Linked DNA regions of Rattus norvegicus. Each later gene encodes a partner of the first gene's protein in a complex. Links are inferred from orthologs where the notes say so. Each region holds a gene or a part of one and is shown in the gene's direction. Other genes may lie near its edges. The genes, in order: Gtf2a1 and Polr2b.

Region 1 (15,314 bases):
GGGATTTGCTTGGACGTCACAGGTCAAATTCCCAATGAATTGCATTCTAAGACACCGACGAACTCTGCCTGATCTCTTGTGACAGGCCTGGCAAGTTGGTGAGTCATGGGCCTAAGTTTCAGATATGGTTAGTCACTGTGTGCAATCACAGCACTTTGGTAACATTAAAAAACAAAAGCAGTAATTAGTGTATCCCAATCTGGTAGTTGTATCCAAGTTTTTTTCTTCTCCACCCTAAGAAGTCATTTAAAGGTTCTGTGAGTTGGTAGAGGCTGATTCTTCGGGGGTATTTTAGCCAAACCACCTTGTAGTCTAAATCTGTAGAGACAAACAGCTGAGAACACAGGCTTTCCTAATTCTGTAAGGTACATACAGCGAGCACAAAGCTTTCCTCTCCTCTCCTCTCCTTTAGACTTATACACAACTTCACGAGGTCTATCCTTTGCAAAAGGCGCGAACTTCCTCCTCGCCCGACCTAAGCTCTACGAATCAAAAGATGACTCCGCATTTAAAACTGTCCCAAGCCCCAGCGCGCGGGAGCCGGAAGCCGCGCCACGTGACGCGCCGTCCGTACGCAGCCATCCTCCGGAGAGCCCGTAGCCTCCACCGCTACTCCACTTCTCCGCTCCACCCGATGCCCTGCTAGGTAGCCACGAACTCTGGGTTCCCTAAATAAACCAGCCTCGTCCAGTGACGCCTCCTGGCCAACCCGCCAACGCGCCGGGACCACCGCCGCGAAACGCTTCCGCTAGGGCTCCCCCGCCCCCGACCACGTGATCACGCGAGACTTGGAAAAGGCGGCGGCGCGCCTTCTTTTACTCCAGCTCCGCGGCCCCGCCCACCCAGGGCCTGGCGACGCCCCGGCGCGCGTGCGCACGCGGTTCTCGCGGTGTCTCGCGCTCGGCCCCGCCCCCCGCTGCCCCCGCCCTTTCCGCCCCTCCCTCCCTCCGCCCTGTCTCTCGGCGGCAGCGACGGCGGCGGCTCGCGCAGCTTGTTGGCTCGCTATATAAAGGGGAGAAGCAGGCGGACCGGACGGCTGGAGCTGCAGCCGGTGGCGGCAGCGGTGGCGCGGGGAGCGGTGACCGGTGTTGGTTTCCCTCCTCGGCGCCGAGTGGGGGAGCGGGTGACGCCCCCTAACCCCCTAAGGGGTCGTGGCTTATTTTTTTTTCCCTTTTTTTTCCTTTAGGCGATTCTCGAGGTTTTTAGCTGCGGGAGGAGTGCCCCCCTCCTCCTGGTCTCCCGCCTCTTACTCCTTCTGGATCGGTTTTGTTGAGAAATTTTTGCCCCACTCTTGCGGGTGACTTGGGTCACCCTCCGGGTCTCAGTTTTTTTTTCTTTTTCTTTTTCTTTTTTTTTTTTTAATATCTCGTTCTCTCTTGTTTGTGTTGTGTGTGGAAATGGCGAACTCGGCAAACACAAACACCGTGGTAAGGACGTGGTGCGGTGGCCGGCGGGGGCTGCGAAAGGTTCCGGCGGCAGGCAACGGCCGGGGCGGGCGGGGGCGGGCCCGGGCGAGGCGGCGCTCCCGACCCGGTCCCCTCCGCCCTCCACCACCGCTGCCCGCCGCGGGCCTGGCCGGGCGGGGGGGCGCCGCGGGCTGGCGGGCGGAGGGCGGCGAGGCCGGGAGCGCCGCGGGGCGGGCCACGCAGGCCGTTGGGCCCTGGCTGCCGACCCCGGGGCGCAGGCAGGAGGGTGGCGGCCCCACGCGGGACCCGGACCCGGCCAGCCTCCCGAGCGTCCGCGGGTCGAGCCCCGCGTTTGGGGAGCCTCTTGGACGTCGCCAAGGCCGGGCGTGCCTTCGGGGGCTCTCTGGAGGTGGTGCTTTGGGAAGCCTCCGCTGGGGCCGATTTTACTAATCCTCCGAAAGGAAAAAAAAAAAAAGAGACAAAAAAGATGAAGGTTGGAAAGCACTTATCTCGGTTCCTCCCCAGTGGATAAAATGGCGAAGGGGAAGCAAAACCCCCGCGGTATCCTCGACTAGCAAAAGCACCAGAACAAACAAAGCCTACAGTGAGTGGCCCAAGAGTCCCCCGCTTTCGCCTTGATATTTGCCTACTTCCCGCTGCTCCCTTTTTTGGTTACTTGCGATCACGTAGGTTTGCAAAAAGCAGTCACATAAAAATAACCTTTTAAAAAGAGTCACCAACGCAATGTGATCACTAGGCCACCCCAACTCTTGATCCTTTTTTTTTTATTGTTACAATAAAACACATTTTTTTGTTTTGTTTTTTTGTTTGTTTTCTTGGGTTTTTTGCCCGGTCCCAAACGCCGCAGAACAGCCTGCGGCCGCCCGACACTGTACCGTTGGCGACTCGGGTCGATCCATCATGGCTGCGGCCGCTTACCCTGCTTTTCAGTGCCTGCGCCTTGTGGTCCTCCTCCCTTTGGCTGCCCTGTTTATATAGAGCCATTGCCGCTCTCTAATATAGACTCTGCCAGGATGGGAAGGTGCTTTTCAGGCCTACGTCACCGCCTCTCCATTTAAACACCAGATCCGGCTTTAAATAGTGAGAGCTGCAGAGCGCGGGGCTGGGAGGTGCGTGCTCCCGAGGCGAGAGGCGCCGGCGTGCGGAGTTCAGTTTATTTCTACGCTCCCTTCACGCCGAAATTTCGCTCCGGAGCCAGGAGGCTGTTGTCACGGACCCGAGTGTGTTTTTGCTGTGGCAGCTAGAGTGTACTGCCTTTGTTTGTAGTGGGAAGTAGGCCAGAATTGCAGCCTCGTTTTGTTCTTTTTTCCTTCCCTTTATACAGTTTAATTTTAAATCGTTTTAGATCAGATAGGATGATTTTCTTTTTCTTGGAAGAGATACTGTCAACATTCTCGGCTTTAAAAAAAATGGCGTTGTACGTTAAATGTTTCCCCAAAGAGGACTTGAGTTTGGTAGTGTTTTCTTAATACTCAAGGCATGAAGCTTTTCGCGGTGACTGAAGCTTCTGTGCTCACAATCCATTGATGTGTATGTAGAGTTAAGTGAAGAAAGAGGTACAGCCTAAACTGAATTTTAAGAATTAAAGATTAAGTAATGGTTTTAATTTTACCAGAAGCTAACATGGTCAAACCCACCCAGGTTACCAAATATTGTGCCAAAAAATTAGCAACCTCTAAAAGGAACCTTCCAATAATGCTACATGCAGTCTCCAATTTGCCAGTTTCAAAGTTTGGAAAATGTGTTTTAAAAGGACAGATTTATTAAATGACCTTGTATTCAATAAAGACAAAAGCCACTTCGAGTGAAGTTTAGCATTTTCCTTTTTCCTTCAGTAATAGTGCTTCTGAATTGGTTAAGTTATTGGCTAGTTGCTGAATGATTGAATAGTAGCAAGAGAACGAAATTTTGTGTCTCAGTGTTGGAATTTCTTTTATGGTGACTGATTTAAAAAATATTGAAACTTCTGGTCTGCTGGAAATTTATCCTACCAATTTAAAATTACATGACCAATGTAGAGTTTGGTGATATAGCTTGAAGGTACAGACCAGGACAGGGAAAAAACTGAGGTCATTTTTGTATGATCACATTTGGATAAGACTGCTGGGTATGACCAGAAGATGACTAGTGAACAAAGAGTTCCCCAAATATAAGAACTGGAAAGGCTGTGAGATGGGACGAGGGTTAAATCAAACATGGATAGTAGGAACCAGGCGTAACCATAAACTTATTAATTATGATGTTAGAAATTTTAGTCACAATCAAGGAAATTAGAACTGGAATTTGTGTATCCTGTCTGCATAAAGAACTTTGTTTTATGAACTACATTGCCCGGCCTTACACTTTTATAAAATATGTCACTGTAAAATTTAATTTAGTAAGGACAAAATATGTGTTTTGTTTTGTTTCGAAGACAGGTTCTCTGTGTAGAGGTCAGGCTGCCCTGGAACTCTGATATCCTCTTGTCTCTGCCTCAAGAGTGCTAAGCCTGACTTAGGATTGCAGTATCTTTAAAGTCGCAATTTAAAATAGATTTAGATAATTGACCCAGTGACTTGTATTTAAGGATTAGATATTTTATTAAGGATTTCTCAAAGCCTGTTAAAATTTTGAAATCAGTCTTTTATTGAATCTTATTTTTCCTTTAAAGCCTAAATTGTATAGATCTGTGATTGAAGATGTTATTAATGATGTCCGAGACATTTTTCTGGATGATGGAGTGGATGAACAGGTCCTGATGGAACTAAAAACTGTGAGTTTGTCTCTTTTTAAAAGAATATTTTAGTATTAATAACTTTTCTATGAAGATGTCGAATGATGAATGTTTGACTTTAAGGAGAGACAGTATATAGTGTAGTGAAAGGTATTGGCTTAAACTTCAGCTCTGCCGTCTCTACGTCCTCTACTTGGGTAGCTAGGTACCTTGTATTCAGCTTCCTTCCCTGTGAGATTGGAGGTGGTAGTGCAGACTCCTGGGTGGTGGTTCTCAGGATGAAGTGCAGTAAGCATAGAGAATGCCTGCCTATCACAATGGCTTATAATAGCTTTTCTTGTTCACATGTGATTTTTATGGTTGTTTTACTTGACATGTCAGTAATAGTATTTACTTTTTTTGTATTTTTATTGTATTTGTATTTTAAAATTTGTTTATGTTGAAGGAGGGATTGAACAAATGCTCAATAAAAAAGTGTAGGTACTAGAGTAAAATCCTTGGTGTAGACTAAATGCTCCTTTTATTGTGTATTATACACTGAGAACTAGTTTTTCCTCTTAGGTTTATTATGCAGACATACTTAAAGATTTTTTTTTTTAAATGGCATTTGTGTGGGCACTGAAGAGATAGCTCAGTGCTTGAGAGCTCTGGCTGATTGTCCAGAGGAACTGGGATTGATTCACAGCACCCACATGGTGGCTCACAATAGACTATAAGTACAGTCCCAGGAGGTGCCCTCTTTTGGCCTCCATGGGCATTAATCAGCACACAAATGGTGCACAGACATTCATGTGGGCAAAGCACACATACACATGGCAGCATGTGTGTTTTCTGGTGGTAGAATGAGGTGAAAGTGTGGAGTATTTTTGTACTAGTTAGACTAAGTACCCAATTTGAAAATTTCATAGTTTATTATTCTTTCATTTAAAAGTTGCATCTTGTATGGTTGGGAAAATGACTCAACGAGTAAGAGTGCTTGTTCTGAAGTTAAGAGGACCTGAGTTCACATCTCCTGCACCACATAAAAAAAGGCAGGTATGAGACCCACATGTGCCTGTCACCCCAGTGTCTGGGGGATTGAGACTGTGGATCCCAGGCGTTATTGACCAGCCTCTAAGCAAGGGCGGAGAGAGATAGAGGAAGTCATTTTAATATCCTTCTGAAGGTTCCACATGTACACATACAAAAATTGTCCACTGAGAAAAGTCAGTACCTCAGTTCAGCAGCCTAAGTGCACAGCACTTACCATGCCTTTCTGTTAGATTCTGTTCCTGTGCAGCAGCGCTGCGTTAGGTGTATATTTACTGTGCGGAGACTGTTCTAAAAATGTGTGCTCTGCTGTTTAGTCAAATGTGTAAACATTCGGAAGGTTTCATAACTTATAATGATTGTCGGAAGATCATTCAAAGAACAAGATATATTAATAGATTTTACTCTTAGTAATGAAAAGTTCATTGGTATGCAGATTGAGATTATATATTGTTGAACTTTAATATTTTAAAATATCTTTTGCTTTCTCAGTTGTGTAACTATATGAGAATTTTTTCTTTCTACCCTTCGATCAAAACAACATTGAAATGGAGAGGCAGATGGGAAATCCAGCTTCTTTATGCCATTTTTATCAGCTTTTTTTCCCAGTTAATTCTGGAAAAGTTGGCATCATTTATACAAACCCAGGCTTTTCATTTTAAAATTTTAACACTAAAAGTATCCCAATTTTTTTGAAGTGCTCAGTCATTTTTGGAAAGAGATAGAGGAACAGAAGCTGATTTTCTAAAGTTGTCCTTTGACTTGTGCTTTGGCATGTGCACAACCCCCACCTCAAAAAACTTGAAATAATAAATTAAAAAGAGAGAAATGGACCTGAGGTCAGAAGCAGTAACTGTTGGTTTAGAAAGCGGGAGCAGCTTCTTTAGAGCTGTGCTCAAGTCATCACAGCCAATACGTCCTTAGGGCATAGCTGTGGTCTTTTCCTTTCAGATGTGGAAGCTAGAATTTAGCACTCATTTAAAATGAAGTCTGAGCTTTATTGTGGTGATGAAATATGTCTTAATATGTTTAAGCACCTGTGGACAACTTCTAGAATATTGCCAATGTAAGAAAGGGAAAAAAATGTTAAGTTTTAGTGAAATGAGTAGTACTTACCTGGAGGGAAATAAGTTATTTTTTAATACTCAAGGATACAAGTGTTAGAATTCCTCTTATGAAATAGGAGTTGGAAGATCGTGGAACAGCATAGAGTATTTATAGTACATTAAGAATAAGGAAATAAACTATTCCCTACAGGGAGAGAAATGGAGTGCCTAAAGATAAAGGTGTAGAATGCCTCCTTTGGGATTTGGAACAGCATAGATGTCTAAATTATACGAAGATTAAATAGACAAGCTTACCTTCGTCCTTGTGCACTGGGGAATGTTTTACATTTTGCTGGACTCCGTAATTGTCTTCTCTGTAACATTATGTAAAGAATAAAGTTTTTTTAGAGATATAGAAATGGTATGGGTCAATCTGGGATCTTTATTTTCTCTTGCTTTGTCGGTTGACAGTTTGGAGAATTCTGTCTTTTGACTGGTCCCTATAGCTGTTCAAAGACATTAAATTGTCTTGGAAAAATCAAGTGTCTTCACTTGTGTGTTTCTGACATTTGAAAGTAACTCGTTCAGCATTTAATCTTCAGTTTCTACCATAATACTTGGCCTATGTAGCTGGCACTCAGTTAAATATTTAGCTGAACTGCTTAATTTCGGATGTGGCTTCTGAATCTTACTAATGCTATTTTTGTTATTGTTAAGTGGGGCACACACTTGGGTTGTAATAAGAGTTAAAGCTGTTAGACCAGAATGAACTTAATTCTCTGCACTAAATTTCAGGACCTCATTAGAATTTTCAGAATGTGCCCTAGATTTAACAGGTAGACCCTAGCCTTGCCCAGGACTGTCTGCAGTGACCGAAGTGTGTGTCTGTCATCTGCGCAGCCACATGTGGCTGTGCAGCATCTGGGATGTGATTGGAAGAACTGAGGAATACATTTTTGTTAATTTTATTTAATTTAAATTTAAATCACTACATGTGGTTAGTGATTATTACCACATTGAGCTATTCAGATTTTCTTGCTCACAAGGTTAGCATCCATTGTGTGTTTTATGATTTATAATGGGCTTTGTGAGTGAGCTCCTTTTTTAACTGTTTCACAGATTATCAAGGTTGCTGAGGCTATCAGATACAGTGGTAATTAGATTATGAACTGAGATGCACAGTGAGGCAGCATATAATTTAAAGATTAATTAGATATTGTCAGAAATGTCATTTAAAAACTAAAACAAACCTAGCCAATTATTTAAGTCAGTTCCTGACGTGTTAAGAACTCACTTAAGGCGTGTTTAAACTATGGGAGCTGGGGGGAAGGCATAAATATTGTCCATATTTAATTGGAATGTGTATTGGCAAGGAACTGGATGGGAATGACACTTTAGAAATTCTCTTCAAAGTAAATAATGAGCAAATAAGGAAGGGAAGGTAGGAGAAATGGTACTGTGTAAGGGCTACGTAGTGAAGTTGTCTCAGAAAACCAAAAACCCAAAACACTGTAAAAGCAAAACTCAAAGTGAATGATAAAACCAACCTGTCAGGCCTACCTATATATCTAAATAGCAAATATATAAACTGCGTGATTCCGAACCTCCATTCTCCCCCTCACTCACACACACTCACACACACCCACACCCACACTACATTGCTCTTCATCAGACTGGGAGCCTTGTACAAGCTAGGCCAATGCTATGCCAGTGAGCCACATCCTTAACCCTTTGCGTTCATGCTGATAAAATGGATTCCTCAGTTAGAGAGGAATCTGAAAATTGAGGTTCTATGCCTCTAGTTTAGTCCCTCAGCTGTGGTGCATTTGACGTTGGACTGATTTTGACAGCTGTATATCTAATGTTAGCAACTGACTGACTTCTGCCAGTTCTGACTTACACCCATTAGTTGTGTTCAGAGATGGCTTTATTGCCCATCTCCCTAAGGAAGAAGTAGCAAAATCACCACATGTTGAGAACCACTTTTCTAAATACACCCTAATTATACATAGATACTTAATACATTGATATAAATACCTAAACTATAAATTGAATAATTACCTGCTTCTGTCCTTTGACAAGAGTGTTTAGCTAGTAGGTAGTGGCAATATGAGAGCCTGTGTGCGCCATGAGATAAAAGACCTACATTCACATTTCTACCATCTTTTAGTTAAGTGTCCTTGACAAAGGATGGTCAGCATTTACCTTGTACTCAAACTGTGAAGTGCCCATTCTCCAGCAGTGTTGGATTAGAGATTTTGAATGGTTCCTGTTTCTGCAAAGTACCTAGCTTCTGGATAAAGTGTACACTGATTTTATTTCAGAGCTTCCAAAAGATGTTAGGGAACTTAGCTTCTCCAAAGAGTAAGTGAAACAGAAAGTAGAGGAAGGAACTGGTGAAATGAGAAGGGCGAGGCAAGGGCAGTACCAGGCATGGTGCTCAGAGACACAGAGTTAGTCTTCAGCCATGTAATTATCCTGCTTTTGCCTTCTGTTATTTGCTCGTCTTGGAGAACTTGCTTAACTACTCGTTTTTCAGGTTCCTTTTCTCTAAAGAAGGAGGTGATAATGTCTACATGTGTGCTTATTTCAATAGAATTAAATAAAATGTAGTTACCAGATCATCTCACATACAGTCTCAGACTTTTGGGGAACAGAAGCTAAATTTTTGTCATGTCAATTTTAGATACCTAGGCAAAAATTGCTGAAGTGTGAATGTGCCAGAATTAATATTTTACTTGTGGGAAAGGGAGTAAATAAAATTAAAAGAGCTCTTCCAGTTTTTTTAAGCAAAGAAATGCTTAACAATTCTATATCCCTAGTTCAGCATTACCAGCACAATTACTATTGCCAAAGCAGAGTAGCATTTTAACAGCTGATATTTAGGACCTAGAACTTTCTGATCAAGTTAAAATTGTGCAGAAGTGAAATTGAAGAGCTGAAGAGATGCTTGAGCAGTTAAGAGCGCTTGCTGCTCTTACAGAGGACCTGTCCTCAGTTCTTAGTACCCACGTGGAGGCTCACAACCATCCATAATTCATTTGCAGGGAATCTGATGCCTTCGGACCTCTGTGCGCATTAGACATACATACACGCCAGCATAGCAGTTAGATGCACGAACCTTTTTTAATAAATGAAAGTAAAAGATAAATATTGAGTGGGTAAATCCAGCTTTATTTGAAGGTATAAGCTTGGTGCTTAGTTATATGGTATTATTTCTGTGTTCATTAAGTTACTAGAACGTTTACGAAGCTGAGTTCTGATTCTTTTTTTTTTTCGGAGCTGGGGACCGAACCCAGGGCCTTGCGCTTGCTAGGCAAGTGCTCTACCGCTGAGCTAAATCCCCAACCCCTGAGTTCTGATTCTTGATGGACGGCCCAACCCCTGCCAAGCTTTTGGCAGGATGTGGACATGTTCATGTGTCAGGAGTGGCCAACACCTTTGTCGTTTAGTAGGCAAGGACTAGGAATGTTGCGTTTCCTGTGGGACCATCCCGTATGATACAGATATCCTCAGCCTAAAATGCCAGTAGTATCCTATACTGAAAACAGAATTCTAATAAACATTATTTTTTACAATCTTTCTTTAAATTTAATACTAAATAGCTTATAAATTCCTAGTTACCTGTTAAGTCCCAAGTAAAATAATGTCTTCATGAAGGAATTCATTCAAAAGTAGAACTATCTCTAACAGCACATGGGGTAACACCCTCCCACCCCCAACACCCCCTACCCTCGAATGGGTGGCCTTGGAAACAGACACACTGGCCTTTGCCCCTCTCCTGTGTCTGCACTGAAGACATGGCTCAGCATGCCCAGTCTAAGAGACTGCCTTTCTCTGGGCTTACGGAACTTTGATATGGTTCATTTTAGAAACTGCACATTAAGAGCAATGGAGTAGCCTAAGGTTATTTAGCAGAAAGTAGCTCAGTATTGTAACAAATACAGTACCCGTTGCAGTGGCAGCTAGTCTTTGCAAACAAGCCATACTAAGCCTCTGCTCAGGAGTCTGACTAACTGGGGCAATAGATGGGACTAAGCTGCTGTTCTTAAAAATAGTTGCTAGTTTCCCCTTATCTACAGTCTTTCTTTTTTTAAAAAGATTTGTTTATTCATGTATGTAAGTACACTGTCACTGTCTTCAGACACACCAGAAGAGGGCATCAGATCCCATTACAGATGGTTGGGAGCCACCATGTGGTTGCTGGGAATTGAACTCAGGACCTCTGGAAGAAACAGCCAGTGCTCTTAACCTCTGAGCCATCTCTCCTGCCCCTTTACAGTCTTTCTTTAAAAAGGAAATGTGTGTGGGTGTTTTGCTTGTAGGTACCATGGCTGTGCTCAGTGCTTGTGGAGGCCAGGGGATGGCATTGGATTTCTTGGAACTGGGGTTACAGACTATTGAGAGGTGTCATGAGAGAACTGGGAACTGAACCTGCGACCTCTGAAAGAGCAGCAAGTGCTCTTAACTACTAAGTCATTCTCTCCAGATTCCTTATCTTATTTTTTGAGGTTTTGATTACCCTTAGTCAGCTTTGTTAGGAAAATATTAAGTGAAATAATCCAGAAATCAGTAATTTGTGAGTTGTAGGTTGTGTGCATGCTGACCAGAATGATAAAATCTTTCTCCAGTCAGCTGTGTAGTATCTAGTTGTGAGTCATTTCTCTGTCCAGCTTATCCACTCTGCATATGCAACTCATCCATTAATCATTTAATGTCCACCCAGGTGCCGAAATACCTGTGCAGTGTCATAGTGTGTTTGTTTAGATAACCTAACAAGTGTCTGTACTTCACCTAAATCTTACCACATAGATATTGGATTTCATATCCCCACGAGAAGCTGCAGACATTCAATAAAGTACTTTGAGAAAGAGACAATCACATAGCTTGTTATCCCAGAATATTCTTATAGGTGTTCTCTTTTATTGCACTGTTTATAGTTTGCTAATTAAACTTTTATCATGGGTATGTATGTAGGGGGAAAAAATCATAATTGAGGTGAGAATGGTTTTAGACTTCCAGTTGGGATGCGGGCTATTTTTACAGATATAAAGGTGATTATATTATAGGTTATATACATATATATCATAATGTTCAGATTATGCAGATTAATATAATTAACATAATCTATAATATAGTCTACAGATTATTACAGTTCAGCAGATGTGTTTGTAAACTTTAGAAAGTTAATCCATTAACTAACAGTGCAGAAAACAATGTTTCTTAAGCTTTTATGTATACTGTATAACCCAATAAAAACATAGAATGAATGAAAATATATATATATATATATATATATATATATATATATATATATATATATAAAATCCCCCCCCAAAAGAAAAGCATTGGTTTAGATTTTAATACAACTATTCTTACTTTTGCAAACATCACAAAATAACCTTGGCAATTTATTATAATGGCTTGTGGCTCACTTCTTAATCTGACGATAGCCTAAGTCTGGGATTTCACCTCAGAATCAGCTCTCCTCCTCTTGTGTAGCAGCCAGCTCCTCTTCTTTCCTTTCCTTTCCTTTCCTTCCCTTCCCTTCCCTTCCCTTCCCTTCCCTTCCCTTCCCTTCCCTTCCCTTCCCTTCCCTTCCCTCCCCTCCCCTCTCCTCTCCTCTCCTCTCCTCTCCTCTCCTCTCCCCTCCCCTCCCCTCCCCTCCCCTCCCCTCCCCTCCCCTCTCCTCTCCTTTCCTTTCCTTCTTCCTTTTATTTTCTTATGGTTCTGGATTTGTGGTTCTCATTTCATGCTAACCGGGAAAGCACTCTTACTACTGAAATACACTGTAAACCTTCTCAGTTCTGAATTTTGATTGCTAGGTCCTTGACAGAAGAAAGTAGGGGAGTAGACTATGTACTTAGCTGCTCATTACATGTAGCCAATATTCATTGGAATGATGGGCTCACAACCAACTGATGGTAATAACAATACAACACTGAATTTAGGGAAGTAAAGAGGGGCTATAGAGAGATGGCTCAGTCATCTGAGCACAGAACGTAAGAGCTCTGTTCCTAGAACCCACTTCCTAGAACCTATAGCCAGCTCAACTGCGTGTAACTCCAGTTCCAGGGGGATTCTACCTACACCCTTTTCTGTTAGTGAGGACAGCCCACAAGCAAGTGATATGTCTTCACATACACACAAATAATTCTTAGAAGGGGGAACAAAAATATTCATAGGAGATAGGGAGACAAAGTTTGGAGCAGAGACTGAAGGACTGCCCCACCTGGGGATCTAGCCCATATACATACAGCCACCAAACCCAGACAATATTGATGAAGTCAAGAAGTGCATGCTGACAGGAACCTGATAGAGCTGTCTCCTTAGAGGCTCTGCCAGAGCATGACAAATACAGAGGTGAATGCTTGCAGCCACCCATTGAACTGACAATGAGGTCCCCATTGGAGGAGTTAGAGAACGAACTGAAGGAGCTGAAGGGGCTTGCAACCCCATAAAAACAACAATACCAACCAACCAGAGCTCCCAGGAACTAAACCACCATCCAAAGAGTACACATGGACGGACCCATGACTCCAGCTGCATATGTAGCAGAGGATGGCCTTGTTGGGCACCAATGGGAGGAGAAGCCTTTGGTACTGCCAAGGCTGGACTCCCCAGTGTAGGGGAATGTCAGGGTGGGAGATGGGAAAGGGTGGGTGGTTGGGTTGGGGAACACCCTTAAAGAAAAAGGGGAAGAGGCGATGGATGGGATAAGGGTTTATGAAGGGGAAACTGGAAAAAGGGAATAACATTTGAAATGTAAGTAAAAAAAAAAATCCAATAAAAAAAAACCGAAAAAGTATAATGGGTTGGATATTGGACATTGTTAGAAAATGTACTTTAAGAACTAGTTTGGATTGTCTTCATCACCTCCTCAGTTAGAAAATTATTCTGTAAAACTTCTTCCCCCTCTTGGGGGAGGATCTTTGGAACTTACTATGTAGGCTAGGCTGGCCTTGAACTCAGACATCCACTTGCCTCTGTTTCCCAAGTGCTGTGAGTAAAGGTGTGTGACTGGCTTAAAAAAGTTTCTTAAACACTGACTATTCTTTTACTTTATATTTTGATTTTGATTTTAAGAAAAAAATGTATTTTGTCTGTGTGTTTGCACACACATGTGTATATACCACCATGTGCATGTGGAGGTTAGGTGATAATTTGTGGGAGTTGCTCCCCCCCCCCCCCCCCTCCGCAGAGTTCAGCCAGATAAAATTTGGACTCTTAGGAAGTACTACTTTGTTGCTCTAGGAAGTTGTTTTTAGTGTGAAGTTTGTAAAAGCCTCTATTGGCTAGAAGTTTAACAATAATCTAAATGAATTCCCTTTAGTTTTAGATGAGGAAATGTGTAAGAATGTTACACGATTGAGTCACATTAGTAGACAAACCAGGATTAACTGGTTTTCCAGCCTCTGATGTAATGCTGTTACCTAATTAAAGCCACTATTGGATTAGTAATAACAGCGAGCGCTCAGTGACCACTCACTTTAAGCTCCCATAGCCATGAGTGAGTGGAGGTTAGTACTGTTTTAAGTACAGATTTCAGGCCTTTAAGCATCGGGTTTGCTAGGGAAGTAGTTCTGTTGTGAACCTGACTTACTTCATTCTTCAGAACACTGCTGGAAAGACACTGGGACTGTTGGAGCAGGTTGTCATAAATCTAGGTCATGTAGAGAGGGAAAGGCGAGGGGAATTTTGCTTTGTTTTGAGTCTGTGAGTACAGGAGCCTCTGAAAGGATCCTGAGGAAACAGAGCTCTGAGTTAGCAAAGCAGTATCTCAAGAGCGGATCCTGGACTTAAAAACAGAATGCATACACGGATGGACTAGTGTAAAACTGACCAAATTGTTTCTTTGCATTTTAGAGGCACAATTTTACTTTCTTAGATAATTTCTTATAGGAGTGAAACTCTAAACAATAAACATAGGAGAAAGCAAATATGTTATGGGAATGTTTTCATTTCCTTTCTTTTGGGTGGTTCTTCCTCCCCTTTCCTCCCATTATGAATTTACCGTGTGGTGAAATAAGAAAGTACAAATTGGGTATCCCTAACCTGAAAGGAATCAGCAACCCAGGAATGTTGTCTTTCTGCATTTTTTTCAGACTTTGAAATACTTGCATATAATAAGCAGTAAAAGTTCTCTTATGTTTCACATACACCTTTTTATACATTGTTAGAAGTTAATTTTGCATAGTATTTTAATGGTTTTTGTACATAAAGTAAAGTTTCATCAGGTAGAATTTTCCTGTAGTGACATCCTGTCAGGAGTCAAAAAGGTACAGATTTTAGAACATTGCAGATTTTGAGTTTTTAGACTAAATATGTTCAACCTATAGAAGTGACTAAGCAGAAAGTGAATGTCAGTCGTCCATATTGGGAGAAAGGACATTTCAGGAGGTGTAGAGAGAGGATTGGGATGACCATTTCAGCATCACTTTCTTTAACATCAAGGTTAGACAAACAGAAGGAAGTTGACCTGTCTTAATTTAGAATGCCTTTATTTCTCATTATTCTCATTAAGGACAAATGGGTGAATAGTTCTCATGTTGACTCCTATTGAAGAGATAGGAAATTTGTATTGAGCAAAGTTCCATAAAAGCAATTACGTAATGATTTTGAAATAAAAAGTAAAAAGATAAGCTGTGATTATTCAGGGATTGACTCTGGGAACTCTGTTAACAATACCTGACAACTGAGGTGAGGAATTACTCTAGAAAGTTTCTTGGAATGTAAAAAAAATTTCTTCAGCATAATAAACATGAGGTCTGATTAAGGTTTATTTTCCTTATATAAAACTTGGGTAAGAAAGGTTAATTCATGTGTGTGTGTGTGGGATTGTATTATTTCTTAGAATGGAAGAAATTTACAAACACGTAATAAATTAATGTTTTGCCTATATATCCAGAGTTTTCTTGAAGTCACTGAGAAGTCTTTATTGTTCTTTGTCTTAGTTGTGGGAGAATAAACTAATGCAGTCTAGGGCAGTAGATGGATTTCATTCAGAAGAACAGCAGCTTTTGTTGCAAGTTCAGCAGCAGCACCAGCCCCAGCAGCAGCAGCATCACCACCACCACCACCACCAGCAGGCGCAACCTC
Region 2 (15,314 bases), on another chromosome or scaffold:
CACTGTAGCTGTGTTCAGACACACCAGAAGAGGGGGGTATCGGATCCTATCCCCGAGCCACCATGTGGATGCTGGGAATTGAACTCAGTACCTCTGGAGGAGCAGCCAGTGCTCTTGTAACTATGAGCCCACAAGTATAGCTGTTTAAAACAAGGTGAATAGCAGCCTAATAGTGTATAGCCCGGCAGCCTTTTCACATTAACAGTCATGTCTGAATTCTTTCCTTGTTAGTACAAACACAAATGGAAGTAATTGTAAAGCAGTAGACTTTGTATTAAGTTATTTCATGACACTGAGTGAACTTTTTAGTTGGCAGGATCTGGTAGCCAGTGGGGTAGTAGAGTATATTGATACCCTGGAAGAAGAAACCGTGATGCTTGCAATGACTCCAGATGATTTGCAGGAGAAAGAAGTAGCTTATTGCTCCACCTATACCCACTGTGAGATTCACCCATCAATGATTCTTGGCGTCTGTGCATCTATTATTCCTTTTCCTGATCATAACCAGGTTGGTTGTAGTTCTGTCTTGTGATTTGTAAAGAATCGGGGAAGTAATCAGTACTAGGGATTAGTATGTCATCTCATCAGGGTGTGAGCACCTACAGACTCCGCTGTGTGACTTGTGTATTAGTCACTTTTCTGTCCCTGTGGTAATATGCCACGGCCAGAGGCAACTTAAAGATAGAAGTTTATTTTGGGTTCTGCTTCCAGAGGAGATAAGAGTCCATGCTGGAGGAGCAGAGGCAGGGGAATAGTAAGCAGTAATCCTTATCCCAAAGCATGAAGCAGAGAGCAGGGTGGGGGATAGCGCATGGCCCCTAAACTCAAAGCTGGTCCCCGTGATGTGCTTCTACTAGCAAGGCCACACTTCCTGAACCTCTGGGAACAGCACTGTTCCCTGGGAGCCAGGGTTCAAATCGCCGACTTGGGGGCATTTCCCATTCACCACCAGTTTTCTTGCTCCTGTTTTTGTTGAAAGCCATAGTGGTTATTACCTGTCTGAGAAATTCATTGTCTTTATTTTTTGTTTCTCCCGTTAGTCCCCTAGAAACACGTACCAGTCTGCTATGGGCAAGCAGGCTATGGGAGTTTATATCACCAACTTCCACGTTCGGATGGACACCTTGGCGCACGTTCTCTACTATCCTCAGAAGCCCCTTGTGACTACACGGTCTATGGAGTATCTCCGGTTTAGAGAACTGCCAGCAGGTATGCCAGCTGTCCTGCCATGCATAAGACACTTCAGTGAGAAGGGCTGGGGAAGATTAAAAACGCACACAACAGTGACCGCTTTGCAGACTTTAGAATGTGGGAAACACAAATGAAATTAAAAGGGTGAATGGATGTGTGCAAAGGGTGTTGTTAGGTGTAAAGTCCAATTGAAGTACACTGTCAAAATGATTGATTCCTCTTGGAAGGTAGAGCTGCTTTTATGGAGGAATGATATTGGTAAAGGAGATATTTGAATTTGAGCAAAGGCCTTCATTTGGGAGCCTGTGAGATGTGGGACTAGGTCATGCCAGTGTATGTGGCTATAGCATCATTATATGTGACTGAAGCTTGTTCTCATGGTGTGGAAAGAGCCTGAGCAATTTGGAGTATTATTTTAAAAGTGGAGGTTTGGAGTTGATGGCTCCCCCGAGAGGGAGAATCAGGTTTTGTTAAGGGTGTGGCTATTGGTACCTTACTTGAGTGAATGGCCCCACATCCATAAGTATATGTACAGCAGATATTGGATTCTATGGGTTATTAAAATATGATGTTACACTTTCAGCTTTTAAAAAAACCTCACTGATTTCCACAGTGGTTGTACCAGGGTGCACTCCTGATAACAGCAAATAGAGTTTCTCTTTCTCACATCCCCGTCTGCATTTTCTCCTGTGTTTTTTGAATAGCCCTTCTGACTGGAGCAGGAGGGAATCTCAGAGTGCTTGTAATCTCCATAATTCTGGTGTCTGGTGGTGTTCAACGCTCAGATGTTTACTAGTCATCGTATTTCTCTCTTTAAGAACTCCGTTCAGCTTGTGTCCTTAATGTTTAGTCTCTTTAGATCGGATTCAAATCCTCTGCTGAGTGTGGAGCTACAGAGATTTTCTCCTGTTCTTCCGTTTCTTCATTTGATTGACAGTTCCCTTTGCAGGGAATTATTGGCCAAATTTCCTGAGTGATTTCCTATTCAGAAAGCCACACTTAAGCTTATATGGTGAAGTGTACTCTCCACAGTTTTCCTGTAACAGTTTCTGAGTCTTATGTTGAGGTCCTTGAATTGTTTATTCCAATTTTGTGTGTGTGAATGTCTTGCCTGCGTGTATGTATCTGTACCATGAGCATGCAGTGCCCACAGAGGCTAGAGAAGGAATCAATTCTCTACTGCTAGCTGGACGTTAGCCAAACAGGATACAGAGGCTTCCAGATCTCTCGCAGTTCAAGGCCAACCTAGTTTACACATTGAGTACTAGATCATTCTGGCTTACACATTGAGTACTAGATCATTCTGTTTACACATTGAGTATTAGATCATTCTGGTTTACACATTGAGTACTAGATCATTCTGGTTTACATATCGAGTACTAGATCATTCTGGTTTACACATTGAGTACGAGATCATTCTGGTTTATACATTGAGTACTAGATCATTCTGGTTTACACATTGAGTACTAGATCATTCTGGTTTACAGGATGGACTCTGTTTTTAACAAAACGAATAAAAAATTAGGTAGCTGTAGTATGTGCCCTCTGTTTTGTTACTTTGGCCCTGCAGTATAATTTGAAGTCAGGCAGTATTTTTATGCTCAGGACTGCTTTTGCTGTCTGAGGTCTCTTGTGCTTGCTCTCTCTGTACCTGCAGAGTGGCACTAGGGGCTTTGTTGGCAGCTTTCCTTGGTAGGATACCCATCTCCAAGGGTTAATCCTTCTAATTCACGGACTGTGTGTGAGGTCTTTGTGTCTTCTAGTGTCGTACTCAGTTAGAATGTTTTCTAATGCTTTAGTTTACTGTAGTATTCTGTTACCAATCTTCCTTCTCCTCCTTCCTTTTTTTTTTTTTTTTTTTTTTTTTTTTTGAGAAAAGGTTTCTTGTAGCTCCAAGCTGGCTCACTATATACCCTAGGCTGACTTTCCTATTTACCCTTCCTTAGTGCTGGGAATACGACTTTGGGCTTCATAGTTCCTTACAATAAATCAATCTCTTGTTATTAGTTATAACTGTGCATGGGTGCCGTGCCATGCATATAGATCAGATGACAATTTTATGGAGTCAGTTCTTCCCATTTTACATAGGTTCTGGGCTCAGACTTAGTTTGACAGGCTTGTACAGCAAATGCTATAGTGTGGGCTCACCGTCTTCCTTTTTTTTCTTGTTCCCTCCCTTCCCCACCTGCCCCTTCTCTGCCTCCCACTCCCCCTTCTCCTCCTTCCCTATGCTGTTTAAAGATGGGATGGTCCTATGTTGCCCAGGCTGTTTTCATATTCCTGAGCTAATGTGGTCCTCATGCCTTTGCCTCCCCTGAGTGTCAGGTGATAGACCTTTGCCTCCACACCTAGCCTTATGTCAGCTAAAGTAGTTAGGGCAGCAGCTACTAAGGATTAATTGTGCCCTGGAAGATGGTGTCACACTGTGGTGGCATGGGGAGAGAGTGGCAGGGTGGAGTTGGTTTCATATTGAAAATTAAAAATTATGAGGCTAATTCACTTTGGGGCATATGTTCTTACCTTTGAGTCATGAGAATAATAAAGCTTGTTCTGTTTAAGGCACAGAGCTACATGGTTCATGTGATAGTAAGGACGGCTTCCCTGGGAATGACGGGTTCAGGTTAAGTTAGCAGCGCATTTGCCTCACACACAGCTTCAGGGAGGAGTAGACAGCAGCGATTTCCATGATACGACATCCAAGTGTTTGTGACAAATGATTGAAGAAAATGGGTTTCAATGAAAGGATAGGTTTCCCTGCTTCCCTGATGGTTCTTTACTGTGTGTTTTGAATGTGTTGTAGGAATCAACTCAATTGTGGCCATTGCATCATACACGGGCTATAATCAAGAAGACTCTGTTATCATGAATCGTTCAGCTGTGGATCGAGGCTTTTTCAGGTCAGCTTTTGGTCAAATTTGTTGAAATACAGATGTAGTGGGTTGCATTTTTTTTTTTTATAAAGTTTTTTAAGAATAAGCTCGACTGTGCGAATCCAGAAGCAGATCTGGCTGGCGGCCATGCAGCTACAGGCAGTGAGTCTTGTGCTTCTGGGTTGTAGATGTGATATTTTCTACTGTAAGCAAGTGTGTAATTGCATCTGGATAGTACAGAAACATCTAAGGAAGAAATTAAAAAACAGAAGTCTGAGGTAACTACTGGTAAAATTAGAATGTGTTTTATTTATATTCTTGTTCGTTTTTTGAGACAGTCTCACTATATAGTTCATGCTGGCCTTGAACTTACAATGTAGTCCAGGTTGGCTTTGACTTCGTGGTACTTTTTCACCTCAGTCTTCTGAGTAACTGGGATTACAAATGTGCACCACCACATTTGGCTTCCCGTTCTTCTCCTTTTTACTGACCACACAATTAATCTTAAACATGCAGCATAAGGCGGTTCTTTGAACCACGGGGATTTAGAGGGGAACTTTTTCTCCTTGTGTAATTCTAGAAAGCAGCACTAGGACTAAAGCGTGGACGTCACAGCTTCATGTAAAACTGCCTCTATGGGCATACTTGAGCAGATGAAGGGTGGCTGTGCTCTGGGCTGTTAGGAGGACTTCTGTCAGTAGGAGGATGGACTTAATTACCTAGGGCCCCCTGATCTCATGTGTGAATCAGATGCTATGTGCAAAGCCTATTTACAACTGAACCTTGACCCTAGAACATAGTGATCCTTGTGCCTGCTTTGTGTTTCACATTGCCTCTCAAATATCAGTTAAGCCAAACACCGTTGCTGTAAATCTAAGCCTTTTTTCTGAAAGAAAATTATGAATCACCTTTAGAACTCTGTTTTTAGGTCTGTTTTCTACCGATCATACAAAGAACAAGAGTCTAAAAAAGGATTTGATCAAGAAGAAGTGTTCGAGAAGCCTACACGTGAAACATGTCAGGGTAAGAGACAGTGACGTCTCGTGGGGTCCAGGAATTGCCACCGAAAGCATACAAATACTGAGTGGTTTATTGAGTGCACGCCTTGATACTGAATGCTCAAGAGCTGCAGAAAGGACTCAGGAGCCCAATTGCAGTACTAGTCTGCTCTCAGGGCAGGCTTCTTATAGGAAAAACCTGGTACGGGAGTTTAAAGGGCAAGGAGGGAGCAGTTGGCCTACTAAGCAAAGTATTGTCAGCTGACCTTCAAGCTGACTGGCTCTGAGGGAAGGTAAGGGGGATGGAGGATGGGTGGTGAACAGGCGAATTTCAGGACATTGAGATAACAGAACATGAGTATTATAATCATAACTTTGGGCTTCTTAGCATTCTTCAGTGTCAACCATGTAAACCACAGTGATCTCAGGGTAGGTGCAGGAAGAGCTGCTGGGTGATCAGCTCTGACTTAAGTCTTTTTAGAAGTAACAATTCATATTGACCTTTGATTCAATGGGCTCTATATAAAGCATTGTGGAATTTCTTTAAGATTAGCAGACCTCATACAGAACAAAACAGGGTATGTGGTCAGCATGTCCTTGAGCCAAGTCACTTCTCTGAGTCAGTGACTGGCAGGCATGTTACAGTAACAGTGTGGAATAGCTGGCAGGCATGAACAAAATGGACTCCTAATAGTATTGTGTGAAGGTGTAGTGTCCTCTGTTTCCCTAAGTTCTTTCTCTTACTGTATTCCCATTGGTTGGCTCTATGTAGCACTAAGTCAGTGTTTAGTGGAATTAAAATGCACTACTTGGCTGGGCAGTGGTGGTGGCATGTGCCTTTAGTCTCTGCACTTGGGAAGCTGAGGCAGGTGGATCTTTGAGTTCTAATCTCTGAGTTCAAGGCCAATCTGGTCTGTAGAGTGAGTTCTAGAACAATCAGGCTATACAGAGAAACCCTGTATTGGGAGTAGGGTGGGAGGTTAGCATAGTTCATGATTTCTGTGGGATAATGTATGTGTAGGACCCAGGCATTCTTCCTCATGTGACAGTGGCCACACACTATGGACTGTCTCTCTCCATAGAAACTGACTTCCCACTGTTCGGTTCCATTTTTTTGTTTGTTTGTTTGCTTTGTTTTTTGTTTTTCTTAGTAAATTTATTTTCTTTTTTAAAAATCATTTTTATTTTATGTGTATGAGTATTTTGCCTGTATATATGCCCAGTGACCTTGGAAGCCAGAAGAAGACATCTGATAGGAGTTACAGATGGTTATGAGCTGCCTTGTGGGTACTAGGAATTAAACCTGGGTCCTCTGGAAGAGCAGCTAGTGATCTTAACTGCTGAGCTATTTCCCCACCCCCAGTTTGAGACAAGGTCTTTGATTGGTAGCCTTTGCTGGCCTCAAACTCTTAGAGATCCATGTGCCTCTGCCTCCTGAGCTCTGGGATTAAGGGCATGTGCTACCATGCCCAGGTATAAACTATGATATCAGAGTGCAGAGTTTGGAATAAGGACAACAATGAACAATATTTGTGGAACAGAGTTATGTATTTAGTTTCTCATGTGTGTTGGGGGAGTTAAGTAGCATTTTAAATATTTTTCCTCAGTGTCATGTAAGGAAATTCCCCATCTGTTTCCACAGGCATGAGGCATGCCATTTATGACAAGTTGGACGATGATGGCTTGATAGCGCCAGGGGTCCGAGTGTCGGGAGACGATGTTATTATAGGCAAAACGGTCACCCTCCCTGAGAACGAGGATGAGCTGGAGAGCACCAACAGGCGCTACACCAAGAGGGACTGCAGCACCTTCCTCAGAACCAGTGAGACAGGCATTGTGGACCAGGTCATGGTCACTCTCAACCAGGAAGGATATAAATTTTGTAAAATAAGGGTGAGTGTGGCTTAATTCATGTAGATCATTTTAGAAAATAATTGCATTTCAGTTTCTAACCCATTTTTATGTGAAACCAGGTACGCTCTGTTAGAATTCCGCAGATCGGAGACAAATTTGCTAGCCGACATGGTCAGAAGGGTACTTGTGGTATTCAGTATAGACAAGAGGTAGGTGTCTTCAGTCTTTCTCTTGCCTAACTCAGAGTTGTATTGAAAGATTAATTAAAATTTCCTGTAACTTTTTTGTTGTTGAAATGTTAGTGTTTGTTAACCCATCATGTTGACAAAGAATTAGGGCATTCATATTTTTCTTTGGGCAGTATCAGGTCTGTCTAGCTTTGTCTATTAAGTTTTTTACACTTTTCTTTGTAGGACATGCCGTTCACTTGTGAAGGCATAACTCCTGACATCATCATAAACCCCCACGCCATCCCCTCTCGGATGACGATTGGTCACTTGATTGAATGTCTCCAAGGGAAGGTAAGATTTTGTCCTGAAAAACAATAGGTTCCAAGTTGATGTGTCTTTCATTTTGGTGAGCATTTCTCTGATCATTGAGCCAAGATAGTTGATTAAAAGCAAATATGATATTTTCCTGCTTTCAGATTGGTTATTCCACGTTTTCATCCTTTTTTATTTTTAAGCAATCTGGGTGGTTAGGGAGATAGCTTAGTAGATAGGGGGATTTCTGTGCAAGCGTGATGACCTGTTTATTCATTAAAGGGTCGTAATACCTGGGGCTGGGAAAATGTTAGCAAGCCTGCTGCCTGACTTCAGACCTGATCCCCATGCTGCAAGGACAGGAGTGATGCTGCACGCTGACTTCCGATCTCTGCGTAAATGAATTAAACATACAAAGAGTGTGTGTGAGAAGAGGCTGTAACCCAGTGCGTTGATGTATGAGACAGAAGAGTCACTGTGCTTGGCCCAGCTCCAGGTTCAGGGAGGAGAGACCTGTCTCAGGCGGTATGAGGACGATGGACCAAGAAACCTAATGCACTAGCTTTTGATTGTTGCTGTGATAGAACAACATAGGGAAGAAAGGGTTTATTTCATCCCACGGCTTACAGTCTTACCTGTCGTGAAGGGAAGTCAGGGCAGGAACTCAAGGCAGGAACTGAAACAGGCCATGCAGGATCCCGGTGCCCGGGGCTTGCCCGGTTTGTTGTCTGGTTGTCCCAGGACCCCACCTGCTCATGGATGGTAGCCCTCTAGTGCACTGAGCCCTCATTAGTATACCTACGCTAATCAGGACAGGTCCTCACAGAGCAGTCCACTGGCAGCTCCTCAGCTCAGCTCCTGCTTCCTGGATGCCTCTCACTTGTTTCTGGTTGACAAATTAACCAGCAACCTGATGCCCTCTTCTGGCTTCTACACGGATGTGTATTCCTCCCTTACATATATACATATACCAGCACACATGTTTGCACACACACAAAATTGCCAAGAAAGAATTTTTGCCTGAGTAACTTGTGCTAGCCAATTGTACCATTGGGGCTCAAGACCAATTTATTTGTAAGATACAGCACATACAGCCTTTGTGTATATTTGTGGTTATAGCAGCAGCTTTTTTCTACAGATAAGTTAATTCAGACAGTTGGTTTAGTATGGCTTTAGGAAATGTTAAATTTTGGTATCAGCTGTGTTTTATCTTTCAGGGTAAGTTTTCTGGATTTGGGTGTCTTGTTAAAGTAGAATAGTGTCCCATGGACAGACTTCTATTGGAGAGCATTTTAGCCTCTCTTTTTAGGCAATTACTTTGTTACAAGGATCTTAGGTGAAACATTTAAAAAATGCATATCAGTATCACACAACTTTTATAACCATTTTTAATTTCAAAATCTTGCCTTTTATAGGAAACATTTTTAAATCGGGTATATCTTTATTGATGTGTGACTTCTCTCACACTTGCTTTCATTCTAAAGGTCTCTGCGAACAAGGGTGAAATTGGTGATGCTACTCCGTTTAATGATGCTGTCAATGTGCAGAAGATTTCTAATCTTTTATCTGACTACGGCTACCATCTCAGAGGAAATGAGGTATAGTTGCTATCACAAGAGCACATTCTGACCTGTATGTAACAACCATGTTCTGTGTGGTGTACTTTATATATACAAGAAAGCCGGGCTGGAGAGATGGCTCAGTGGTTAAGAGCACTGACTGCTCTTCCTAAGGACCTGAGTTCAATTCCCAGCACCACATGGTGGCTCACAACCATCTGTAATGGGATCTGATGCTCTCTTCTGGTGTGTCTGAAGGCAGTGACAGTGCACTCACATACATGGAATAAATAAATAAATCTTTAAAAAAAAAAAAGCCATTCAGTTGTGCAAGTCATAAGCATACAGCATGATGAAGTTCCACAAAGTAAACACACTGAGTCTAGCACCTACACTGAGAAACGAAATCACCCAGAATGCTTTTCTACCCTGAAAGTCCCTTCTAGTCTCCCCTGTCATCCCAGGTAAGTGCTGTCTCATTGTAAGCTGGGTTGATTTTAGTGTAAATAGCAGTACAGAGCAAGTGCACATGCGTTTCTGAGCTTGTTACATTTTTAGTCATGTGTGACAAAATCTCTGTTTTCAGGTGCTCTACAATGGATTCACTGGTCGCAAAATCACATCGCAGATTTTTATTGGCCCCACTTACTACCAGCGTTTGAAGCATATGGTGGATGACAAAATTCATTCTCGTGCTCGGGGGCCCATTCAGATTCTTAACAGACAGCCCATGGAGGGCAGATCGCGGTAAGGGAGCTGCAGCTGTGGCGTTTGTGTTCTGTTTAACTAGCCATTCACTTGAAAGCGTAAAGCACGTGTAAGTAGAGGCAGTGGTGTGATGACTGCCTGTGTTCCTGATCCTCACTTGAACAGTTTCTCCCTTAAAGTCAGGGCTGTGAACATTCTAGGCAACTGCTCTTCCAGTGAGCCAGACCCCACCTTGTTTCTGCTGTGTTCACCAGATCCAGTGGTCGTGCAGTTTCCTTTGGATATAACTATGCAAGAGTGGCTATCACCTCTGATCTCTGGACCCTCAGAGAACCTTTCTTCATGTGAGCTATGCTTTTCATGACAGCAGAGATTAGACTGAAATCTAAAATACTGATTTAAAAGCAGAGGCAAAACCATTACGTATTAGTACATGCTTAATGAAAAGTCGGTATATTTCTAAGTAAGCTTAGTGATAAAGGTGACATTCATTGGCTTACAGTTTTTGCAAATTTCTTTTGTGAGCTAGAAGGCACCTGGACTCTTCTACTTCTGAATTAATTCCATTGCAATATTTTGCCTTTCCCTTCCTCTCTCTCCACCTCCCTTCCTCTCTTCCTCATCTCACTCTTTCTTCCCATAGAGTCTCATAATAGCACAGGATAGACTCTTGTTACACAGCTGTGCCTTGCCTCCACCTCCACACGGTTGGAATTATTGGGAATTATTGGTGTGTGCCACCACACAGGATCAATGTTGTGTTTGAGGAGAATGTTTTTATTACCTTTGTCTACTGTGTGAGGTGACATGGTGTGAGTGTGGAGGTTAGGATACGACTTGTAGGAATTTGCTTCTCTCCGTTCGCCACGTAGGTCCTGGCAAGAACCTTTACCCACTGAACCAGCTCATTAGCTCAGTATTGTATTTGAGGGAGCTCGGGTGTTTAAAGTGTTTGAGAGAGCTCTGATGTCACATAGACAGATACAGTTGGAAAAGAGAAGAATGGTGTTTTTTTGTTGCTATACTAAAATGAAGAGCTACTCTAGTTTTTGTCCTTTCTAAATCTTTATTTTCATTTATTTTTGAGCCAGTATTTTTTGACCCTGTGACAGTATGTTTTTATATAATCCGGATGACCTGGTATTCACTATGAAGGCCAGGTTGACTCTGAATTCATGGTAACCTCCTGCCTCAGCCTCCTACAGGAGGCTCACACTGCAGGCCTCACTTATAAGCCTGCACCACTGTACACTGTGCTTGAGAATTTGTAATTTCCTTTTTCTTTTTCCTATTTTCTCTCTATGAAGGGAGGGAGGCAGGCAGGGAGGAGAAGAGAGAGAGAGAGAGAGAGAGAGAGAGAGAGAGAGAGAGAGAGAGAGACTGAATAAAAGATTCTGTAGTTTAGAATGTCCTTCAACTTTTGGCATTGCCCCAGCCTCTCAAATGGTGTGAATACTGGCATGAGGCCAGCTAAACATTTCTTTGTCTCTCTTTTGTCTCTGTCTCTCTTTCTCTCTCCCCCTCCCCCCTTTCTCCTTCCTTTCCCTCCCTCCCTCCTTCCCTCCCTCCCTCCCTCCCTCCCTCCCTCCCTCCTACTCCCTCTCTCTCTCTTTTTTTAATTACTTTAAAAGTGTATGGGAGTTTTGTCTGCATATATTTGTGTGCACTGTCTTGCACGTTGGTGATAGCAGAGGCCAGAAGAGGGTGTGGGCTCCTTTGGAACTGGAGTTACAAGCAGTTCCGAGCTGTGAGTGGATGCAGGGGACTGAGCTCAGGTCCTCTGCAAGGCAGCACATGGTCTTGACTGTTGAGCCACCATCTCTCCAAGTCTAGTGCATTTGGACGGGGAGAGCTGAGAAGACAAGGTGTAGCAGACAAGAGGCCCCGGTTTAGATTGCGGATCTGTCAGGATTTGCCACCAGAGGATTTAATTTAAAATGGTGTACAAATTAGGATGTTAGTTGTTGCACCCAACAATTGTGTTACCCGTGGATTCTAAACTAAGATTGTGTGGTATTTTCCTTCATATTGTGACTCACCTGAGTTCCAGAGAAAGATACGGTGGCGGGGCACCCCAGCCAGCCACGCCATGGGAACTTAGTTGGTGGAGAGTGGGAACTGAATTGGGTGGAGAGATTTTGGAGCCCTGAGTCAGAGAGCCTGCCCAGATGAGAGCAGGCCAGGCCTCCTGGTGCCCTGAGGCGATAGCGTGGGTGCTTGGAGGTCATGGAGGTGGTGAGACCACCGGGGCCAGAGAGTAGCCAGACTAAGAATGGGTTAGCCTTTTCATTATTTTACGCTACTTGTAATGAGAAGTTGAAAGCCTCATCAGTGAATTTGCTACATTAAAATCACTGCCTTACTTGGATGCCCGTTAATGGTAGAGTACTTGGCTAATGTGCAAGGTCCTAGTTCAGGCTTGTTCCCTCTGCCAAATTGTGTGTCGAATGCACAGCTGTACAGCATCACAATTAATCATTTAGGAAATACAGACTCACTGAATTATACAGATTTTTCCAATGTTAAATTCTATTCCACACAAAAGAAAAAAACCCACACTTGTTCTCTCTCTACTGATGCTCTTAGGAAAACACTTAGGTATAGGAAGACTTGGGGTGTGAAGTAGCAGGTAATTTTGTAAAATTCTAATTTTTGCTCAGAAGTTCAAATTTCTAATCATTTGTAGTACATCCTTAATTGTTTTCCTTGGAGTAAAAGGTTGACTTTGTTCAGTTCCTTTCATTTCTTTGTTCTGTAACAAAGTTTGAATCAACATAATTGGTGTTATTGCTGGAGTAAAACTGGTCTTCTCCATGGAAGGGGAACTGTCACTGCTTATGGAGCTTGGTTCCTCTGCCTGCATTTATTTGCCTAAGGATAGTTTTATTTGCTTTCTTACAGTCAGTGTGGGTGCCAGCACAGTGACAGAAGGAGGAGTATCGCTGTATTATAAGTGTAGCTTGGTCTTCCTGACACCCACAGGCTGTAACTTGACAACCTCTGTCGTAAGCATGAGCACACTGGAAACAAATCAGGGCTCAGAGAAGGGTCAGTGGCTAAAAGCACTTACTACACTTTCAGAGCTACCGTTTGGTCCCTTGTTGGCGCCCAGTGACCCACGTGTGACTTGTACCATCTGTAGCCTTCCTTTTCACGTCTCATAGCTGCTAGTCACTGGAAGGCCTTGATGAGTTAGAGTACAGATGGATGAGAGCCTAGTTCTTACCTGTCTGTCTGTTGTTGGCTAGACCGACCTCTAAGGCTGTGACTTCAGCTCCTTACCTTGTAGCCCTTACTCATTATGTAGTATTGTATAAGGCTGAATAGTGAGCCTTTTGTTGTAATAACAGTATAAGCCATTGGCTTTACTCAGTAATGCTTGTGTGCACAAATGCATGTGCTACGTTATGGAGGCCAACATCCCTCTTGTGTGGCCATCTCAATGCATGGCCTCCCCTGGGAAACCTGTCCCACTCACCTGTTCCATTGTGTGTCACTGTGCACTCTTCCCCTCAGGCTCCATGGCTGGGGATCCCCTATTGAGAGGGTATTCTATTGAGATTGACCTCTTAAATGCACGTTCACGTATAGGACTGAACTCATTAAATGATGGTACAGTGAGTCTTTGTACCACAGTGTATTTGATGAGGAAACGCATATGCTATGTTTTCTGTCTACTTCATTTGGAGACCTTCTGAAGTACACTAAAGGCTTGCTTGGCTTTTCCCCTCCTCACCAGGTTAGAGATCGCTAGGGCATAAAAGTCAGGACCTAGTTGTGCACTACTGCACTACTGCTGCTCTTGTCATTCGTCAGAGTGCTGTTTGTAAGAAAAGATGGGATGGGTTCAGGGCCAGTGACGTGGCTCAGTGGGTAAAGGTGCTGCTGCTAAGCCTAGCTATGGGTTCAATTCTCAGAAGAGAACAGACTCCTGCAATCTGTCCTCTGACCGCTACACATGTGCGTGTCTGGCATTGACATATACTCAAAATAAATGAGTACAAATAAGCTTGTTTTCTTATCAACAGTGATGGTGGCCTGCGCTTTGGAGAAATGGAGCGAGACTGTCAGATCGCACATGGTGCAGCACAGTTCTTAAGAGAAAGGCTGTTTGAAGCATCAGATCCGTATCAGGTTCACGTTTGTAATCTTTGTGGAATAATGGCAATTGCTAACACCAGGACTCACACATACGAATGCAGGGGATGCCGCAATAAGACCCAGGTGTGTGCACACTTAATCCTACATGATGTTCTTAGGCAGTAGTCATGGCAGATTTAGTGTAGTGGAATAGGCTGGGATTTTCAGTTGTGATAGCAGGTCTCCAAGATACTAGTTTGACAAAGAAAGATAGTTTGACTTTTCTAAATCAAGCTTAAAAGCAATTTCACAAAGCTATTCATCTCCGAAATAGTAAGGAATCTAAACTTTGTTTTTAAATAATGCTTATGGTTATTTTGCCTGTATGTGTGTCAGTGCATTATGTGTTTGCAATACCCACAGAGGTCGGGTTATCGGGTGGAGGTTACAGATGGTTATGAGCTGCTATGTGGGTGCTGGGAATCAGGCTCAGCCAGTGCTGGAAGGGCAGCCAGTGCTCTTAACCATCGAGCCATCTCTCCAGCCAACCAAGAGTTTCTTAAGCTTCACTTGAAATGTGTCGGTTAGATGAATATTGGCTGTGTTAGCAGAAAGGAGGAGCAGACAAAGCCTGCTTGGTTAGAGCCTGCCGAGGAGAGCCTAGGACAAGTGCTCACAGCTCACTCGTCCACCAGGAGTGCCAAAGCCTTAGCCTTTCTGGAGGAGGAAGGGGAGCCTTTGCTGCGAGTCTGCTTATCACTCTGCCTCTCCTCTCTGCAGATCTCCTTGGTGCGAATGCCGTATGCGTGCAAGCTGTTGTTCCAGGAGCTCATGTCCATGAGCATCGCACCACGGATGATGAGTGTTTAGTGGTCAGAAGTTCATGGTCCGATACTGTGAGCAGCAGTATCTTGTTTCGGTGACTGTCGTTTTTAAAAAAAAAAATGACAAAATTTCCTGTTGTAATAAGAATTTTATTTGTTTTGTTTAAAGCTCTGCATGCTTTTTCTGTAAATAAACAATAAACTTTTGTAGATAGTCTTATGTGTTATCTTTGATTTCTCTGTAAAATCAGCTGGCTGTAATAAAGTGTTAGTGTGTTAGGTTCAAAGGAATATGTCAGGCAGGAGTGGGGTTACAGCTGTCAGCTGTCTGAGAGCGCGTCAGCTACAGAGGCTAATGTATTCGCAGGTTTATAGCTGAGCACCTTCACCTGTTTCAGAAGAAAAATAAAAATTAGTCACACATACGCTCATGGTACGGCATACTGTCAGCTTCTAATCAGTGAGAATGATAAATCATGTGGCTAACAGGGGGGCATGGTAATGAGCTTATAGACCAGCGTTCAGGCTGGGACAGGAGGATTGGTTAAGCCCAGGGATTAAAGGCCTGGGCAACCTAGGAAGACCTCCATCTGCTCTCTCATCCCTTGTCTCTTTTTTCTAAGAAAGTTTCTCACTATGTAGCCCAGGTTAATCTTGAACTCGCAACTTGCCTGCCTCAGCCTCCCAAATGCTGGGATTATGGGCATGTTCCCGAGACTTCATCCTTTCAAGAAAACAAACAGGGCCC

The links.
Region 2: Gtf2a1 (region 1) and Polr2b share a complex: the UniProt entries of both Homo sapiens proteins name them as parts of the TBP-based Pol II pre-initiation complex. The link is inferred for Rattus norvegicus from reciprocal best matches to the Homo sapiens genes GTF2A1 and POLR2B.

Annotation. Positions count from the first base shown.
Region 1 is NC_086024.1:116,237,861-116,253,174, reverse strand, and holds the start of Gtf2a1 (transcription initiation factor IIA subunit 1), read left to right. Parts: upstream 1-954; 5' UTR 955-1,397; coding exon 1,398-1,427; intron 1,428-1,470; exon of another isoform or gene 1,471-2,647; intron 2,648-2,665; exon of another isoform or gene 2,666-2,983; intron 2,984-4,077; coding exon 4,078-4,179; intron 4,180-15,169; coding exon 15,170-15,314. UniProt on the Homo sapiens protein: TFIIA is a component of the transcription machinery of RNA polymerase II and plays an important role in transcriptional activation. TFIIA in a complex with TBP mediates transcriptional activity.
Region 2 is NC_086032.1:31,151,005-31,166,318, reverse strand, and holds the end of Polr2b (DNA-directed RNA polymerase II subunit RPB2), read left to right. Parts: intron 1-309; coding exon 310-508; intron 509-1,040; coding exon 1,041-1,209; intron 1,210-3,991; coding exon 3,992-4,088; intron 4,089-4,989; coding exon 4,990-5,084; intron 5,085-6,701; coding exon 6,702-6,952; intron 6,953-7,032; coding exon 7,033-7,122; intron 7,123-7,326; coding exon 7,327-7,434; intron 7,435-8,879; coding exon 8,880-8,993; intron 8,994-9,540; coding exon 9,541-9,701; intron 9,702-13,690; coding exon 13,691-13,886; intron 13,887-14,522; coding exon 14,523-14,612; 3' UTR 14,613-14,785; downstream 14,786-15,314. UniProt on the Homo sapiens protein: Catalytic core component of RNA polymerase II (Pol II), a DNA-dependent RNA polymerase which synthesizes mRNA precursors and many functional non-coding RNAs using the four ribonucleoside triphosphates as substrates.